Linked DNA regions of Macaca fascicularis. The protein of the gene in region 1 interacts with the protein of each later gene in a pairwise test. Links are inferred from orthologs where the notes say so. Each region holds a gene or a part of one and is shown on either strand. Other genes may lie near its edges.

Region 1 (4,810 bases):
AGAACATTGGGGAATTAAAAAACAAGAAAGAAAACATTCAGAAGCTTTTACGTGATATCCTATTATAGAATGGAGATGAGGAAGGGTATGAGTAGGAAACACCGAAATATTTCCACTTACTTGGTTTCCTTTCCTGCACTCTTCTTGACACTCCAGTCAACATTAGCCAAAGCAGGGAACAAGTTATTTCTAATGTATTTTGAGGCTTGGAAAGACAAGTCATTATGGTTACACAACAGAGTACTATTAGGGGCTTGGGCTAGAGGCAGGTGAAGTTCAAATCCTGGTTCCCATACTTGTTGTGTGCACTAAGAAAATAATTTGACATCTCTACACATTAGTTTTCAATCTGTAAAATAGGACTGATAATATGGATGGTGTGTGAAAACATATACTGTGCATCATTTATTATTTTGCTTTACATTCTGTAGCACCCTCTAGTGGTGTATACAAAAATATGCATTGCATTTCTACTCTCCAAAGCAGTGGTTCTCAAACTTCAGTGTGTGCTGGAATCACTGGGATAGTTTGTAATAACACAGATTACCAAACCCCACCGTGCGAACTTCTGATTCATTAAGTTTGAGGTGGGACCTGAGAATGTGAATTTCTGACAATTTTTCAGGTGATGCTGATGTTTCTGGTACATCCAGGAAACACATCTTGTGAACCACTGCTCTAAAAAAATCCCTCTTGTGTACAAGTATATAAGATAGATAATTGAAAGGGGTATGATTTTTGTTGTTTGACTTTGATCTAGTACTGCTCATCTAATAAGGACTTGGTGATAAATTTAAAAAAAAATCGACATGAAGGATATAACACAGCATCTAAAATATAGAAAGCATACAAAAAACTGAGGATCACAGAACATAAATCATTTGCCCAGGGTACTGAGACTAGTAAGTGGTGGAATGAGGTTAACAATTAAGTCTCTTTCTCTCACTCCAAAGACACAATAAAATCTACCAATACCACTACAGAAAATAGGGTGCAAACACACATATCTGATACAAATTTCAAGAGAAAAGGAAAATCAGTTTTCTTTTTTTTTTTTTTTGAGACGGAGTCTCACGCTGTTGCCCAGGCTGGAGTGCAGTGGCGCGATCTCGGCTCACTGCAAGCTCCGCCTCCCGGGTTCACGCCATTCTCCTGCCTCAGCCTCCTGAGTAGCTAGGACTACAGGCGCCCGCCACCGCGCCCGGCTAATTTTTTTGTATTTTTAGTAGAGACGGGGTTTCACTGTGGTCTCGATCTCCTGACCTTGTGATCCGCCCGCCTCGGCCTCCCAAAGTGCTGGGATTACAGGCTTGAGCCACCGCGCCCGGCCTTGGAAAATCAGTTTTCAATACCAGGGTCCAAGTTTTACTGATGAGTTCTTATCTCTTTACTAAAGTAACAGCTATCTGTATTTTCAGTTTGGGTGAGTTGCGAGCATTTGAAAAGTTGAGGAAAAAGGGTTAGGATCTTCAGCATCAGTGCTTGGGTCATTCATTAACTCTTTGATTAAACAAGGCAAGGACAAAAGAAGCGAGGGATGGAGAGGGGCCTTCCCCCCCGCCCCCCCACCCAAGGAGAAAAGGAAAGAAATGAGTAAAATTATTTGGATCTTGGGTCACAGTTCCCTGCCTACTAGTGCTATTCACAGAAGCTGATTTTATTTTTTCCTAGGAATGAACGATATCAATGATGCCTTAGATATTAGCGTTCAGCAAATCAAGAAAGGGGAGGGGGGAGGGAAACAAAATCCCAGAATCCCAGGGACCACACAGCCAATCCTTTGCTGGGATTTGGCGGCATCTAGTGGCGAACTCGAGAGGTATAAACCTTACCCACAGAACTTTCTGGAAAATTAACAGTGCGTATTTGCCTGAAGAAGGTCAGTGTGCTTGCTTGGAGATCAGAACGCAAAGGTAAGAGCGCCCTAGTCACCATAAAAATCCGGAGTCTCTAACGGAGGGGAAGGCTGTCATAGATAGATATTCTCATAGGAAAATTGTATTTGTGCCAAGAGAACTGCACGCAACCTTGAAGGGAGGGGGGAGGTGTGGAAGAGGGGAGGGAGGAGGATACTAGACAACTTGAAAGAAGTCTCCCTTTGGAGTTGCTAATGTGACGATGGAAGGCTTTGGCTCTGAATCATTGGAGGGCTGTGGTTTACGACCGGATTTTGGCACAGAGGAGTATTTAAATCAGGGAAAGCCAAAATATTTCTGACAGTGCCCCTTTATCTCTGTTATTGTCGCCTTGCCTTAATTATTTATTTTCCTTTTCATTAGAACATTTTCAAACAAAATACAGAAATAGATAACCTGCGCGCAGTAGCTAACCCCTCCCCGCAACTCCCACCCCAATCACGCACGCGGGCGCGCGCCGTGGCTCTCACCAGTCCAGACGCCAGGGGCGCACGCCTGCGCAAACACATCACCTCCAGCGCCACGAGGGCCGCTCACACAGCAACCCCAGGGGCACTCGAGCCTGCCCGCGCACTAACACACTGGCCTTAATGCCTTGCGCCCGTTGCACTCACGACCCTAACTCGCAAACACAGCAGAACCCCCCACTGCGCCTTTTTTTTCCATGTTCGGGGAGTTGCGCCACAGGCCTGGGGGCGTGGCTCCAGATTTGACCTCGCGCTTCCCCACTCGCGGGAACCTTAGCTCATTTCCGCCTATTTCCGCAGGCCACGTAGACACTTCCTCTCCCAGTGGGGGGCTGGGGGGAAACACAAACCCATAATGCCTCCCTGCAGGAAAAAAATTAAAAAAAAAAAAAAAAGGAAAAGGAAAAAAAAAAAAACCTTCTGGTCAGAGGAACTCTGGGTCGTGAAATAGGCCACGTGAACATTCTGCCCTATAGACTTATGACCCAACGGCTGTCACGCTTTTGGAGGGCGGGCTAAAAACCTAAGAGGGCGAACGTCATTGGCCGGAACGCGCACTGACGGAGGAAGAGGATTGGTTTGCTGTAGGCCTTAACAGTGAAGAAGCAGGTTGCTAGCACCCGCCTTTACTGCGGCGAAGTGTCATTGCTGACGTGGGGGTGGTTGTCCAATCATTTGGTTATGGAACATTCTAAAACTTAGACAAGACGATTGTGATTGGCTGAAGGGCATACGCCCTCCTCCAGGGTGACGTGTCTGCCTATGGATATCAGTTGCCAGAGAAACCTGGCTTTACTATGGCGGTTGGAGGAACGGCAGTGATCACACGTCGTCTGCTGGGAAGATCTGGATTCTCGTTTCAGGTTTCGGGGTGGGGGTGGGGAGAAAGGGTCGATGATTTCCTCTTTTCGTCGGGTATAGACGGGATTAGCTAGTTCCTTCACAATCGGTCAGAGCTGGATTCAGATTCCTGCTCGCCAACGCCCAGCTTGGGCAAGGCTCCTGTTCTTTCTGTGTCTCGGTTTCCATGTTTGTAAAATGGTGATAATAATAGTATCTACCTCAGAGACGTGTACTGTATAATGGTGCGTATAAGGCACGTAATATGAAGCCTGGCCCCTGAAGATATTAGCTATTGTTATGGAGATAAATAATACACGTAATAGAATGAGAAAAATTATAAATTATATAAATTCGCTAATTGTAGTGCCCTTTCTGCCATCAACTTCTTTCCTAGAATAAATTAAAGATAAAAGAGATATATCAATTTTTACCAATGAAATAATTTGCTCTTTGGGAATTGCCTCAAAATTGCAGAGATTGTAATTTTCCCATGTTGAAAAGTTAAATAAAAGGTGGGGGGGTGGAGTGCGAGAAAGAAAGAGATGGAGAACGAGAGCGAGCTGGAGATGAACCACATGCGATGAGTAGGCCTTGTTTGGATCCTGAATCGAACACACCAACTGTAAAAATATGTTTAAGACGCATCGGGAAAATTGGAACATGGATTCGATATTTGATGTTTTTTAAGGAATTGATGTCAATTTTTTTAGGCGTCACAGTAGTATTGTGATTATGTTTTCAAATTGTCCTTTTTTGTAGAGACATATACGAAAATATTTACGGATTAAATAATATAATGTCTGGGATTGGCTTCTAAATACATTAATGACTAGGATTTGCTTCAAAATAATCTAAGCGGTAGGGGGAAATGGGGAGGGGTATAGATGAAACAAAATTGACCCTAAATTAATAATAGTTTTTGCTGAGTGATAGGCAGTGGGTTCCGTATATTAATCTGCTTTCCTTGGTATACGTTTAAATTTTTGTATAATAAAATACAGAAGTCAGATATTCCCGTGAGCTTGAAAAAGTCGGGGGTGGGGGGGAGCAGTGGGTGGGGTTATAGATGAAACAAGATGGCCTTCAGTTGGTAATTGTTGAAAGCTGGATGATGGATTCGTGTAGGTTTGTAATACTATTCTTTTATTTCATCCATTTGAAATTATCTTTAAGGAAAAGTTAAAAAAATTGTCAGAAGTTATATAAATATACAATAAGTTAAATTTGAAAATGTAGCCACAAGAAAGGAAAAAGAAATACTTGTACATTATTTATCAGCTTTGGTGTCCTTTGTGTGTGATGAAATTGCATTGGCTGATGTAGAAGAAAGCCATATCTCATATCTTTTTATTTTATGTCCTTTCCTGTCCTTTTGTTTGACCTTCTAGGTCACCATCAGAAAAGCTAAGTTTGCTGTATAGTGAGGATCAGGAGGTCTGATCCTGATTGCAGAACCTTCCCTGATTACAGAATCTTGGGTAAGTGCCTCCCTTCTGGCCTCAGTTCTTAAACAAGATAATACCACATAACCTTCCTAACTGTCCAGGAATATTTTGAAAATTAATAAGCTCCTATCTGGGAAAG
Region 2 (4,716 bases), on another chromosome or scaffold:
TCTCAAACAAAGTCCTCTCCAATCCCGGAGGTTCCAAGACCACCCAAGCACAGGTGGGGCGGGGTCTGCGCTGGACCCTCACACCTCCCTGGAGGCCCGGGGTCCTCACCCTCACCTCCCCGCCCTTGGCCAGGGTCTGGCCTTTTCTGATTCCCAAGCCCAACCTCTCCCGAGTCTCACCTTCTCGGACCTCCTGAATGATCTCTTCTGGAAGGACGAAGTTCCTCTCTGGATTCGGGAATGGAAGAATCTCAGACTCATGCTGATGTCAAATAGAGAGTTTTAAGAAACAAGGGTGAAGATGCGGTTTCAAGAAGCCACTACAGCCATGTAAGAGCCACTTGGTGAGCAGCCAGCGAGCACATGTCACTGTGTTGGAGGCTGCGGTGGGCGGGGCATGGGCAAAGGGCATTTCTTCTTTTTGTGAACAGTGCCTGCTACAGCTGGGCTTTTCAGACAGACCCAGGGAGGGCAGAACCAGTGGAGGCACGTGCAGGGGTCAGGAAGACCCACCGGGGCCGGCATCACTAAGGTGGGCCCTGAGGACCGGGTAGCCCTGGTGACATACACCTGTGGGCCCTGCCTGCCCACCACGGCCTACGGTCTCACCAAGAGACTGCACACCTGTGGGTCCTGCCTGCCCACCACGACCTATGGTCTCACCAAGAGACTGCGTTCCCCAAGGCGGTGTGCAGAGGGCACGGTGACAGCCCTGGGGAAAGGCCGCAGGCACCTCAAGTTCTCATCCACATGGCAGGAACCCATGGACACTGAGGGTGTCAGTTGGGAGCGCCACAGGCACAGAACCAGGCAAGGAAGAAGAGCAGATGGAGCAGGGCCACCCGAGTGCTTGCCAGGCACTGCCCTCCTGAGGTCACACAGACCAGAGGGAGAGACTGGGAGCCAGGGAAAAGTGGAGCTGGCGGGAAGGGCCCTGGACTGGGAGGCGATTCAGGAGACAGGGGCTTCTACTCGGCAGTTTGGGTGCTGTATGGAACAGGCAGTCAGGCCACATTTGTGCTCCTCAAAATCTCCTGGGCCAGCTGGTCAGCCTCTCGGGGGTACTCCAGGGGCTCTGTATTTCATAAGGTCTGAAAGACTCAGATCTCAGTCACACAGAAGTGTCATGGTCCAGAGAAAGTGCCAGCCTGTGGTCTTGCCCAGTCCTTACTGATGTCATAGGCCACTGCAGGAATAAGGAACAGGGCCACAGTCCTAGGGCTGAAAGGCCTGGCGGTCCCACATGGCTTCCTGAGTGTCATGTGGGCTGCTGTGCTCATCTGAGCCAGCACCCATGCCCCAGGGGACATTATGGGCCTTGGAGCTGTTTGTCTTCCCCAGAGACAGGCATAGATTTACACCGATCTCTCCAAATCCCGGTGTGGGAGGTGTCTGGGGACCTAGCGCCCTCTCCCACAACCAAGAGGCTGCTGGGAGTTTGGTGACAGGGGGCCTCTGACCCTGAGGGGTGGTGACCAGGGTTCAATGGCTGATGGATACGCTCTAGGGAGGAGCGGGTCCAGGGAGGACCTTGTGAGCTTAGTAGCCAGCTGTGTCTGGGCCACTAGGTACTGGTCACCCAGTGCAAATGCCGCACTGGCTCAGAACGTCCTCAACACACGAGGCGGCAGCAACAGGGGCTTAAGCTTCCAGGGCATTTCTAGGGCTGAGCATCCTTCCTCTCCTCAGACAGCCAGGCCCCTGCACGGCTGGCATCTCTGTCCCCTTTCTACAGCTATGACAAGGAGACCCACATCACTCCACCAATGTCAACGGCAAGCATTCCTTGCCTCAGTGGTGCCCCTATGTCTTCCTGGAAGGGCTGGTGTGGCCCTGAGTCCAGCGTGGCTGGCACAGACTCTCCTTCCACCAGCACAGGTCCCCACTCCTCCTGGTCACCTGACCCCTGACCCCCACCCCATTCTCCAAGCACACCACCTTCTTTCAACTCCTGGACCCACCACCTCCTGCTGCCACAGAGCCTGCAACACCCACCTGTCTCTCGTGGCCAGCCTGCTTACCTAGCTAACGCGCTCGCCCGTCACACACTGCCAGCTCCAAGCTCTGTGAGGACTGGGACTCTATTTGCCTGACTCCCACAGAAGCCACCAAATTCACCTTGGTGTGACTCAGATAGGGTCACCCTCTGCCTAAAGCACTTCTGGGGCATCCCGGGAGGCTGACAAGGGCCTAAGGGCCTGGGGCCTCTGCATCCTTCCCTCCCTCCCCAGGGTCTCAGCTGGAGGCTCTGGCCCAGCACCCAGTCTAAAGCAGGCCCCCTGAAAAGCTGGCCAGCTGCTAGCATTGTGTTTGTGCTTTCCATGACAGGCTCTGGAGCCCTGGGATGCCCTCCTTAAGGATGGGTCTCACTGCAGGGGGCTCTGCCCAGCAGACCCCAGCAGGCATGGAGGGGCCTCTGCTCTGCCCAGCTCAGGCTGACCCTCAGCGGTGTGTGGGTTCGTGCCCCCATCGGGCAGCACAGGGAGGGTGGTTGGGCTCACCAGTGCCTGCATGTCGTACATGGTGCTCAGGTGGTCCCAGATGACCTTGGATGGGACCTGCCGCCCGATGTTCTGGCTGAACTTGTCCCGGATACAAATCATGTGGAAGTGTCGGTTCACACCTGGGGGAAGGAGGGGCGGCGGGACAACCGGTCAGAGGGGAGGAGAAGGAGAAAGGGGATGGGGGGGATAGGGTGCCCTGGGGACTGGAGGGGCAAGGGTGGCCGCGGTGGGATGGGGCGGGCCAGGGTGCGGAGAGGCTGTCGGGGGGCAGGGCTGGGTGGTGTGTGTGGGAGGGGGTGGGGCGTCCCGGGGCAGAGGTGGGGGTGGGGCGCTGCGGGCTGGGGCCTCGCGGTGTCACGGGGGTAGGGGCCGGGGGCGGGGTCCGGGGCGGGGTCCGAAGGGCGCGTGGGAGGGGGCGGGGGTCCCGGGACGGGTGTGGCGGGGGTGTCACGGCCCGGGCTCGGCGGGGCGCGTGGGGGCGCGGGTGCCGCGAGCGCAGGCCCCGCCCCGCCCCGCCGGTTGCCCGCCCCGCCCCCACGCGCGTCCGCGGCCTGGGCGCTCACCGACGGGCTTGTGGCCCAGCATGGCGTGGAAGAGGCACACCTCCACCTCGGGGCTCCACACCACTGTCTCCTCCGCCGGGCTGGTGGCCGCCTCCCCTGGGCCCTTGTCGCCTGCGGCGCCCCCGCCGCCCACCTCGGCCTCTCCCATGGCCGCGGCCCGGCCGAGCAAGGAGCCCCCGGCGGGAGCAGGCGCGGCCACGAGCTCCGCGCAGGCGCACTCGGGGGCGGGCGCGCGCTTCGCCAGGCACGAGCTCCGGCTCACGCGCCGGCGTCGGCGCAGGCGCAGCCGAGGCCTCGGGTCCCTTCCCGCCGGGGACTCCGCCCTGCTCCGCCCCGTGCGGGGGTGCTTAAAACGTGTTCCTCTTTAAAGCACAGTAAGTGTTCTAACACTTCACCCAAACAACAACAGAAAACTTTTTTGCTTCAAAGAAAACCATCAGCAAAGTGAAAAGACGACCCACAGATTGGGAGAAAGTATTTGCAAATCCTGTATCTGATAAGGAACTTCCTTGCAGAAGGTATAAATATAACTCTATAATAAAAAGACAGTCTAACTATAAAACGGCAAAGGATTTGGATACACATTTTTCCAAAGAAGATGTACAGATGGGCCGGGCGCGGTGGCTCACGCCTGTAATCCCAGCACTTTGGGAGGCCGAGGCGGGAGGATCATCTGAGGTCAGGAATTCGAGACCAGCCTGGCCAACATGGCATAATCCCGTCTCTACTAAAAATACAACAAAATTAGCCGGCCGTGGTGGCGGGCGCCTGTAATCCCAGTTACTTCGAGAGGCTGAGGCAGGAGAATCGCTTGAACCCGAGAGGCGGAGGTTGCAGTGAGCGGAGATCGCGCCATTGCAATCCAGCTTGGGCAACAAGAGAGAAACTCCGACTCGGGAAAAAGAAAAAAAAAGATGTATAGATGGCCAATGAGCACCATCGGTCACGCGAAACGCGAACCAGCCCGCGTGGGGACCCCCTTCCCCGCCGAGACCGCCGCAACCACGCGGCCGGGGTGGCGAGTACTGCGAGGATCCGGACTCGGGACCCTCGTGCGGTCGTGCTGTGGGGCCAGATGGAGTCGCTGCTGCGAAAGACAGAACGGCCGTTCCTTCAACGATGGAACCGTCTCCCTAGGAGGCAGCAGCTCCGTGGCGGGCGCCCGCAACGGTGGAACAAGACACAGGTTCAGGCTGGGATCCGCAGCCGCAAGGCTAGCGCCGCCCCCAACCGGGGCTGAACCGGCTAGGGGCGCACGGAGCGCGGGCACCCGCACGGCGCAGCCGCGTTCAGCCTAAAAGCCGCGAGCGCGGACTGCGGCAGCGTGGGTGCGGGCTGAGACGAAAGTCAGAGAATTCAGACACCAAAATACGCAGCATGGGAATCCATTCACAGGAAGAGCCAGAACTGGCAACTCCATAGAAATAGAAAGTAGACGCACAGTTGCCGGGGACGGGGGAGGGGGAGGGAAACGCGAGTCACTGCGGATGGGGATCGGCTTCTTTTTTGTTTCTGAGGCAGAGTCTCGCTCTGTTGCCCAGGCTGGGGTGCAATGGCGCGATCTTGGCTCACTGCAACCTCTGCCTCTCGGGTTCAAGCAATTCTCCCGACAGACTCCCGAGAAGCTGGGACCACAGGCCCTCACTACG
Region 3 (4,524 bases), on another chromosome or scaffold:
CTATAGGGTAATTTCATGGTCCTAAGGAAAGAATTTAAGAGTTTATTTTCTGAAACTGGTTCAAGAAACATTCCTTAAGTGAAAAATTTCAATCAAGAATAATATTCCCTACATTTTGGAGAAGGATTTTTAATATAGAACTTCCATCTGTGATATATTTAAATTCTAGGCCTCAGGCAGCAGTTTCAGAAAAGGGCCTCCTTTACCCTTTATTAGATGCAAAATAAATAGTCTACTCTGCGGATGGGGACTTCCCCTTACCTCCCCACCCCTGCGAAATCTAAGACATGCTTCCCTCATTCCTAAAATCACACATGCTACTTTTTTTTTTTCACACAGAAACTCTACTATTGACATCAAAATATTTATTAAAACTTTAATTACTCGAATTATTTTGTAAGTACTCCTATTCAGTAGAAAAGAAGACCGGTGAAGCTGTCCAAATGGCGGCCTGCAGTCAATGCGTGGAAAGCTGTCAATACCGAAATGTAATACTCTCTTGATCTAGTTTTGACACTTTAACAAAGACAGGTTTTGCCATTTAGGACCGCTCAGCCATCTTGACTGAATACGTTAAGAGGGTAGTCCTGGACCTGCTTATTGCCAAGGGACTTTCACAGTGATTTCTAAGTTACTGTAGGAATCTCAGCCTATCACTCGACAGAGGCCTAACATGTTGGAGCTGTCAATAAAGATCCGCACTTTGGAAGCGGAAAGAAGGCACAAGTTTTATATGCACACTTTCTTTATTATGCATTCTTCCAGCCATCAAAGAGGGGAAGATTGTACTCTCCCAAAGCTTACAACTTTGTTACTTTTCATGACCTGTAGCATGTATTTAGCCTTTGGGTAATGTTTGTGCAAGACTAAGGCCCACTCTTTAATGGCTGAATGCATACATTTCGCAGCACATGGTGGATTCGCTGCTCTGAGAATTGCCTTTAAAAAAAGTAAAGTGAAAAATAGACAAAGAAATCTGGAACCTTAGCAGTGTTTCCTATTTGTTTGGACTGTTCTTGAACCAGCTCTCAGGCGGTGACCGGGCTATTGAAAAGATGCACCTGAAACAGGATCTGCGGGCAGCTGCATTTGCCACCCGGCTTTATTGCTGCTTTCCAGCGGCGAAGGCGCAGCAGCAGTAACAGGGAAGCCAGAGCGAGCCTCCCCGGCAGCGGCGGCGGCGGCGGCGGCACCGGCACCAGCGCAGTTTCCCCTCTCCCCAGCCCTGACTCTACGCGCACATGCGCACTGCGCCCGCAGCCCTGGACCATTTGTCAGGACTACTCGTGAGACGGAGAAAAAAAAAAGAGAAAATTTGGGGGTAAGAAGCGGTTGATCGGATCTAATCTCTAATTAATCTGAAGATTTGTCCGTGCAAAAGCCATTCATTTATTTTTCTGGGTGAGGATGAAAGTTAAGAGCCCTATAGAGGGAAGGAAGCGCACCCTCGTCTTGTGAAACAGATCAGGGGAGGGGAGGGACAGAAGGGGTTTCTCCCCCACTTCTCTGCGCCTCTGGGAAAGAGGAGAAAACTTAATCCCGGGGAAAAAAGTGGGCAAGTGACTCGGAAACGGCTGGAGAGGGAGTCTCTGGGCATCTCACTCTGAAGTAGTGAGTGCGAGTGTGAAAGAGGAACAAAAGAGAGAGAAAAGAGAAAGGAAAAAATGGGGGGAGGAGAGACTTGTATTTTTTTCTTTGCGCGCACACGGGGAAGGGTGTGGGGGGCCGTGCGGAAGGGAGCCGGGGCGAGGCGGCCGCGTCGGGCTCAGGCTGGCGCGCAGGCGGCGGGATGCGTGTGGCCCCCTCCCCCGCGCCCCCCGAGCTTGTCACTTTGGTCGCTTTCGTGACACCGGGCGCGGGGTGGGGGAGCGCGGCGGCGCCGGGCTCCGCCGGGGTGCGTGTCCGGGTGGGCGCCGCGGAGCCGCAGCCCGGGCGGCGAGCGCGGCCGCCGAGGCGGGGGGCGCCGGCGGGGGGCGCGGGGGCGGCCGGGGACGCGGATCGGTGCGGCGGGAGGCGCGAGCCCCGCGCGCCGCCCCTGCGGCCCCCTCCGCCCGTGTGGCCTTTGTGCCGGGCGCGCACCGGAGAGCGAGCGAGCGGGCGGGCGAGCGCGAGAAGTACAAGTACGGGAGACCGAGGCAGTGGGAAAAGAGGCCGGGCCACTTTCTCCCCTCTCGGGCTGCGGAGAATGGACTGGTTGAATGTGCAGGCGCGTCTCCCCGGCGTGTGCTGTGTGTGTGCGCGGCGGAAAGGCCTGCCCGACTCCCACCGCGCACACGCACACTCACACGCACGCACACACACGGACCCGCGGCGGGGCTCGGCGGCCGAGAGTTTGCGTGGCTTCCTCGCCGCCTCCCTCTTCCCGACCGAGTGTGTGAGAATTTCATATAGATCAGCTCCAATTTCCGCCATTTTGGGAAAGTTGCACAAAAATAAACCCTCCGGTTTATTTCTGCCCGAGGCAGGAAAGTGCTTTGGGAAGCGAGGCGGCGCGGGCCCGCGGCGGCCGTCCGCGCGGGAGAGGGCGCGGGCCGCGGGCCGGGCCGGGAGCCCGCGCCGTCGCGGCGTTCGCCCCGCGCCGTGCCGCGCCGCGCCGGCCCGGGTGCGGGCGCGGGCGCGGGCGTGTGTCGGGAGGCGGCGGCGGCGGCGGTCGCGGCGGCGGCGGCCGCGCCGGGGCGGCGGGCTGGGGGGGGAGGGTGGGGGCGGCGCGGGGCTGCTTTTCCTGCAACTTGTTTACGCCTGCCTTATCCTGGGGAGGAAAAGAGGGGTCGGGGCCGGGGCCGGGGCCGCCGCCCGCCTCGCGCCGCGTGCGTGTGCCGTTCCGGAATAATGGGCTTTGCACACTCGCGTCCTGGGCCCCGCGGGCCGTCCTCGCGCCGCGGCGGCGGGGCGGGGGGAAGTAGAGGCCGGCGGGGGTGGGGATCGGGAAGCGCAGGAGCCGAGGCATCCGCCGCGCGCCCCGCGAGCTGGTGGAGTGTGGGGGCCGGCGGGCAGGGAGGAAAACTTGAGAGCCTGGAGGGGGAGGAGGGCACGGTGGCACGGGCGGGGGGAGGGCGCAACTTTTGGACTGGTGGTAAAACTTTAATTACCTTTCAAGAAAAAAAAGGCCCTGCGATTCCCCCCTCCCCCCGTCCCGGTCAAAGCACGGCCCGCAGCGCGACCGTGAGAGAAAGTTTAAAAGCGGGCGGGTTCCTCCCGGGTCCCCGCGGAGGGCTGGGGGCGTCGGTCTGTCCGCCTGCGCTCGGAGGGAGGTGGGGGTAACTAACTGCTCTCCGGGGCGCGGGGACCGCGGCTTTACCCCACCCTTCCACGGGAGACGGAGGTAAACGTTGCTTCGGTTTCCCTTCTGAGTCCCCCTGCTGCCACCACCCCGCTTCCTTTTCCTCCCCCTCCCCGCCGATTTTTTGAGGGGACCCGAAAAACAGAGTCCCTTTCCTTAGGCAACTTCCTTGGGCACTGTGAGCACGGCCCTCCCCCTCACCGCCCCCACCCCCAACGCCCCGCATCCCTTGGCCCGCTTCTTCTCCACCTCGGGGCCACCGCCAGAAAAATGCATTCGAGATCATTCAGAGTGCATAGAAACAAAAATAGATTTTTAATTGTTAGGTTAGGGGGAACTGAGATGAGAAATAAGATTTTGGGGTGGGGGGGCGCGGCCGGGGCAAGTGCGTCCATTTCTCCTTTTGGTTTTCCTAGAGCGTTGTTTGTGATGTCTTTATTGGTTTAGGGAGTCCGAGAGGCTGTGTGCTGGCTATCTCGGTCGCGTGGATTTTTGCGCAAGTTTTTAGAAAAACACTGACTCGAGTAGAGAGCATTTCTCCGGAAAGTTTCAAGTGCAGCAAAATAGCGAACGTGCAAAACTGGCCAAGGGGAGACCTCTAGTGGTTAAACGCGTCTTTAAGTTCGGAAGGCCGAGAGCAAAGTTTGGCCTTTACTTGTAGCTACGTAGTCCGTTCAGACGTGGAAGTAATTAGAGGACCTGAGCGAGCAGCCAGATGTTGTGTGAAAGGATGCTTGATCAGAAATTGAAAGTTTAGTAAATCGGAGCAATGAATTCTGAGGACTCAGACCCTGTAACTTCCATCCGACATGAGTTATGTGGGAAAAACACTTTGCTCTTATTCTGGGATTTGAGATTGATCGCTCCCTGAATTGGAAACAATTGTTTGCTTTTGCATTTATCGGTGTCTGTACCTCTGATCAATTTTTAATTATGAGTCTCAGCTGATGACTTCATTTTGAATGTTAATAAAACTGCGAAGTTGAAATGTGTTTAAAACTTTTGAAGAAATGGAAAAGACCTTTAGTTGAGATTTGCCTTTTATATGAGCTGTTCATTTTACTCTCTGATAAATATAAGGCAATTTTATGTAGTTTCTTAGCTGTATAGTTATGTATAGTCCGAATAAGTAGTCCCTTTTGGTTCTAAGACTGTAATTTTGTTTCACTGAGTACGAAATTGTTTCTGAATACTTGTATAATTTGTGATTTAAAGTCCTTAAACGTATGGGTTAAAACTGTTCA
Region 4 (4,743 bases), on another chromosome or scaffold:
AAAAATTAGCCGGGCGTGGTGGCGGGCACCTGTAGTCTCAGCTACTCGGGAGGCTGAGGCAGGAGAATTGTTTGAACCTGGGAGGCGGAGGTTGCAGTGAGCCGAGATTGCGCCACCGCACTCCAGCCTGGGCAACAGAGCAAGACTTTGTCTCAAAAAAAAAAAAAAAGGCGGGGGGGCTGGAGCATACATGTTTTAAGTAGAATCTTTGACAAGCTGTTCTGCATCCATTCCCATTTCTGTGCTTCCATATTTGTTTTCTTTCATTTCGCTTTCTAGAAATTTTTTCTTTTCTTTTCTTTTTTCTTTTCTTTTTTTTTTTTTTTTTTTTTTTGGTAGAATTCTCTCTAGAAAAGCTACACTCCTGTGTCCTAGGGCCCAACAACAAGCAAGACAGGCATAATAGCTGGGAAGCCAATCAGCTTAAACTAAGACAGACAATATCAAAAGGGCATGTCTAGCCCAGGAGAACATCCACCCTAAATCCAGAAGGCATTATGACCACATCTCTTCAGCTGCCTGGATTTCAGGTATAAATTAGCTCTTCCACAAAGAGGGCACTTGGTCTATAAACGGGTCCAAAGGTAAGAGTCCCACTGCTATAAGACCTATCTCTCTTCTACACTAACGTGGTGGGGCAAGGGGGAAGAAAGGGGTGAGAAGGATGGAGGGTTTGGGGAAGGAGTGGGAGAACTGGAAGCTAGAGAGATCGTTTCTGTCCCACCATCTGTGTGACCCCAGTGCCCAGCACAACGCAGCCCACGGAAAGGCACTGGTCCTTTCATTGAACGTTTACTGAACATCTACTACATGCCAAAAAGCTGGATGGGTGCTGTGGAGGCAGAAATGGATTTGGAGATAATCTCCGCCAGGCAAACTGAGGTCAAGGTTTTCGTTTGTTTGTTTAGAGAAGAGACGGAGAAGGTCAAGGTGTTTTTGTTTTGTTGTTGTTGTTAAGAGTCTTGCTCTGTGCCCAGGCAGGAGTGCAGTGGCATGATCTCGCCTCACTGCAACCTCTGCCTCCCGGGTTCAGACAATTCTCCTGTCTCAGCTTCCCAAATAGCTGGGACTACAGGCGCCAGTAACCACACTCAGCAATTTTTGCATGTTTTGTAGAGACAGGATTTCACCATGTTGGCCGGGATGGTTTCGAACTCCAGCCTCAAGCGATCTTCCCGCCTCGGCCTCCCAAAGTGCTGGGATTACAGGCGTGGGCTACCGCGCCTGGCCTATGTCAAGGTTTCAAGAAGGTTTAGAACTCGGTATCTGCTCCCCTATTTTCAACAGCTTAGTCAGTCCCTAAAATTGATTGACCCGCTCCAGACTGTACTGCGCAGGCGCCCGCTACCTATGCGCTCTCTCCGGACGCCCAGCTCAGACAGTGAATCCCGCATGCGCACTCCTCTTTCTCTCTGGCGCACCCCCGGAAGCACTGTCAATTTCGGGGGGCGGGACCGGGAAGCGTTTCCGGGGGCTGAGGCACAGGCTGAATCTGTTGCGGCAGCGAAGGCTAGAACAGGCCTGCGCCGGCGGCGGAGAGGATCCCTTGGACGGGGGATGTGAGCGCTGAGCCCTTGGCAGGTACTGAGTGGCCAGGACCACGGGCGGCAAGGCTAAGGGAGGAGAAGTTGGTGGGGGAGTTAAGGGCTCCTCTGCAGGCCCCGACGCACGCGCCGCTTGCCCCGCCAGGCCCATTCCGTGGACCGGCATGCTAAAGCCCCGCGCGGAAGGTTGGGGTCCCGGCGCCCCAGCTCCGAATCCCGCAGTCTCCTGCCCACACGGCGCGCAGACCGCGATACCAAGGCCTTTGGGGCAGCTTCTCGCCCAAGGTCACCCTCGCGGCAGCGGAGCTCCGCCGGCCACAGCGCTTAGAGATCCTGCCCCCGTCCGTCCGCTGGCCTTTCGGGGCGTAGGGTGGGCGCGGCTTGACGGCCTCGGGTTCGAGCCACCAATGCGTGAAGCCTGAAGAGCCGAGCTGGCAGAAAGACTGCGCCTGGACTTCTCTGATCTTCTTTTCCCTTCTGTTTCACCCCGGTTGCTGTCTCTGTCACCTGTTGTAACCTGTCCTTTTTGTCTTTCAGCTAGGTCCCTGTCAACCTGATATTTCTCTCCACTTTGTCTTTCTCGGGGTATATGGATCCTGTTTCATATCTGTCTCCACCTTGCTTCTGTGTCTGTTCACCCTGTCTCTGCCACTCAGCCCTTACTCTAATTCAGGGCCTGTCAGTCTAGCTTTTTGGCCATCTGTCTGTTTTTCTCTCTTTCTTCCAACTTTTTTTTTTCCTCTTGTTTCTGTTTCCTAGCTGAGTTTGTCTGGGTAGGGCAGGGCTGCCCAGACCTCTGAGCCATGGAAGGTGACTCATGACCCCGTGAAGCTCCCTGCACTGGTGACACTCTCAGTGATTCGACCGCAGTTTGGCCTCAGCTCTGACAGGTGCCGCCCAACATAAGTGTCAGAGTGCAGGAGAGTCTGTCAGGGAGACAGGAGGCCCATTTTGGGGCCAGAGCAGCTTGATGAGTCCTAGCCTTTTCTCGCCTGTGGTTTTTCAGGCCTGCACAGCTTCCCAAATCCCTTCACTCCATCCACTTAACCACGGGATGGTCTCCAGGGATCTCTGGAGCCTGCTCTTTGAGTTACAGCTGTTTAACTGGCCTGTCTACAGGCTAAAGAAGGATCAGACTGAGATCTTTGGGGCTACTGGAACAGTAGCAGAGTTTCTGGGAGAGCTGCATGCTTAGTTCAGAGACTGTGTCAGCATTTTCGGTTAAATTGTAAGAAACCTAATAATCGGGGATTTATTATTTGCTTTACAAAAGTACCACGGGAGAAATAAACCGTACACAAAAGGACAAATATTGTTTGAGAGCACTTAAATGAAGTACCTAGAATAAACCAATTAAGAGACGGAAAGTAGAATAGTTTACCAGGGGCTGGAGAGAGGAGTTAGTGCTTAATGGATACAGAACAGAGTTTTGGGGGATGATGAATAAAGTCTGAAAATGGGTTGTGATGATTGCACAATATTGTGAATGTACTTCACTGAATTGGACTCTTAAGAATGCTTAAAATTGTTAAGTCTTAAAGTTTTATGTATATTTTATACAATACAAAAAAAACAAAAACAGTATTCATTGGAGACTCCTGAAACCAATAAGCTCCTTTTTTTTTTTTTTTTTTTTGAGACGGAGTCTTGCTCTGTCACCCAGGCTGGAGTGCAGTGGCCGGATCTCAGCTCACTGCAAGCTCCGCCTCCCGGGTTTACACCATTCTCCTGCCTCAGCCTCCCGAGTAGCTGGGACTACAGGCGCCCACCACCTCGCCTGGCTAGTTTTTTGTATTTTTTAGTAGAGACGGGGTTTCACCGTGTTAGCCAGGATGGTCTCGATCTCCTGACCTCGTGATCCGCCCGTCTCGGCCTCCCAAAGTGCTGGGATTACAGGCTTGAGCCACCGCGCCCGGCCCAATAAGCTCCTTTTACGTGTAATTTTTCAAAATTCATTCTGTAGTTGTTAGGAACATTTAGTTGAACCTGGGTTTATTGATTCCTACTCTCTTTACAGCAGTGGGTACAGCTGAGGTTCTTAGAAAAGTTTAGTTAAATGGATATGGTTAAAATCTTCCTCAAGCTTTCTACTTACTTTCTGCCCTGGCTCTCTTCCCTCTGCCTTTCTTGGAATCAGTGCAAGAATCTGCTCATAAGTAGGATACTTGATAATTATACTCTTCACAGGAAGAAAACTCATAAGGTTGAAAAATAGCCCTTTTATTATAATGCAAAATTATGTGTTATTTCTTGAGTTTTCTTATGGGGGATGCCTTTGTGGGTTTTTTGTTTTTTAAAATCTCTTATTTAAGCTCTTTGCCTTTAAGGTAGTTTATTAAACTTTCTAATAAGATATCGCAACTGAATTACTAGTTTATTTCATTGAATGCTAGATGCTGTTGATTATTTCATGTACCACTAAGGAAGAGAGAAACCCTGCTAATTAAACTATGGCTTAATGCGCTCTTATCGTTTAGACTTTTTATTATTGAAAACACTTTTAAACTTAGACACTAAAAAATGGTATCAATGCCTATGCTAATGCATGTATATACAAAGGAAAAATAAGAATAAATTGGTTAAAGTATTCATTAAAGTTAACATTCCAGGTTCTACTCTTTATACTTTTCAGTTCAGAGTGTGTCCATATTTTTTCTAGCGTGTCATCCTTTGTGTCATCAAGAACATTGATGAGGACCTCAGCAGTTCGCTGTCATTGCCTCAGGCTGTGACAACTATTAAAACTGCCACCTGGTGATCACATGCTGATTTCAGGAATTTTAAAATGTGAAAAAATGCATGTCTGAAAATTAATTGAATAGTATCATTTTCGTGAACTTTTCCATTTCTTTTTTCTTTTTCTTTTTTTTTTTGTGATGGAGTCTCGCCTTGTCACCCAGGCTAGAGTGCAGTGGTGCAGTCTCTGCTCACTGCAACCTCCACCTCCCAGGTTCAAGCGATTCTCCTGCCTCAGCCTCCCAAGTAGCTGGGATTACAGGCGCCTGCCACCATACACAGCTAATTTTTGTATTTTTAGTAGAGACAGGATTTCACCATGTTGGCCAGGCTGGTCTCAAACTCCTGACTTCAAATGATCCACCTGCCTTGGCCTGCCAAAGTGTCGGGATTACAGGTGTAAGCCACTGTGCTGGACCTGAACTTTTCCTTTTCACTCTGTTTATATTTGCAGTTAGAATAG

Evidence for each region.
Region 2: the proteins of MORF4L2 (region 1) and MRGBP interact in binary tests that used the Homo sapiens proteins (3 or more experiments, as listed by UniProt). The two-hybrid records come from large-scale screens. The link is inferred for Macaca fascicularis from reciprocal best matches to the Homo sapiens genes MORF4L2 and MRGBP.
Region 3: the proteins of MORF4L2 (region 1) and L3MBTL3 interact in binary tests that used the Homo sapiens proteins (3 or more experiments, as listed by UniProt). The two-hybrid records come from large-scale screens. The link is inferred for Macaca fascicularis from reciprocal best matches to the Homo sapiens genes MORF4L2 and L3MBTL3.
Region 4: the proteins of MORF4L2 (region 1) and ZBTB43 interact in binary tests that used the Homo sapiens proteins (3 or more experiments, as listed by UniProt). The two-hybrid records come from large-scale screens. The link is inferred for Macaca fascicularis from reciprocal best matches to the Homo sapiens genes MORF4L2 and ZBTB43.

Annotation. Positions count from the first base shown.
Region 1 is NC_088395.1:110,058,033-110,062,842, reverse strand, and holds the start of MORF4L2 (mortality factor 4-like protein 2), read left to right. Parts: upstream 1-1,854; 5' UTR 1,855-1,913; intron 1,914-2,386; exon of another isoform or gene 2,387-2,401; intron 2,402-3,177; exon of another isoform or gene 3,178-3,246; intron 3,247-4,614; 5' UTR 4,615-4,704; intron 4,705-4,810. UniProt on the Homo sapiens protein: Component of the NuA4 histone acetyltransferase complex which is involved in transcriptional activation of select genes principally by acetylation of nucleosomal histone H4 and H2A.
Region 2 is NC_088384.1:118,859,814-118,864,529, reverse strand, and holds the start of MRGBP (MRG/MORF4L-binding protein), read right to left. Parts: upstream 3,288-4,716; 5' UTR 3,216-3,287; coding exon 3,068-3,215; intron 2,624-3,067; coding exon 2,502-2,623; intron 263-2,501; coding exon 181-262; exon of another isoform or gene 1-180.
Region 3 is NC_088378.1:34,011,875-34,016,398, forward strand, and holds the start of L3MBTL3 (lethal(3)malignant brain tumor-like protein 3), read left to right. Parts: upstream 1-1,237; 5' UTR 1,238-1,321; intron 1,322-1,454; exon of another isoform or gene 1,455-1,611; intron 1,612-1,717; exon of another isoform or gene 1,718-1,894; intron 1,895-2,064; exon of another isoform or gene 2,065-2,370; intron 2,371-2,924; exon of another isoform or gene 2,925-3,322; intron 3,323-4,524. UniProt on the Homo sapiens protein: Is a negative regulator of Notch target genes expression, required for RBPJ-mediated transcriptional repression. It recruits KDM1A to Notch-responsive elements and promotes KDM1A-mediated H3K4me demethylation.
Region 4 is NC_088389.1:17,205,740-17,210,482, reverse strand, and holds the start of ZBTB43 (zinc finger and BTB domain-containing protein 43), read left to right. Parts: upstream 1-1,456; 5' UTR 1,457-1,581; intron 1,582-4,743. UniProt on the Homo sapiens protein: May be involved in transcriptional regulation.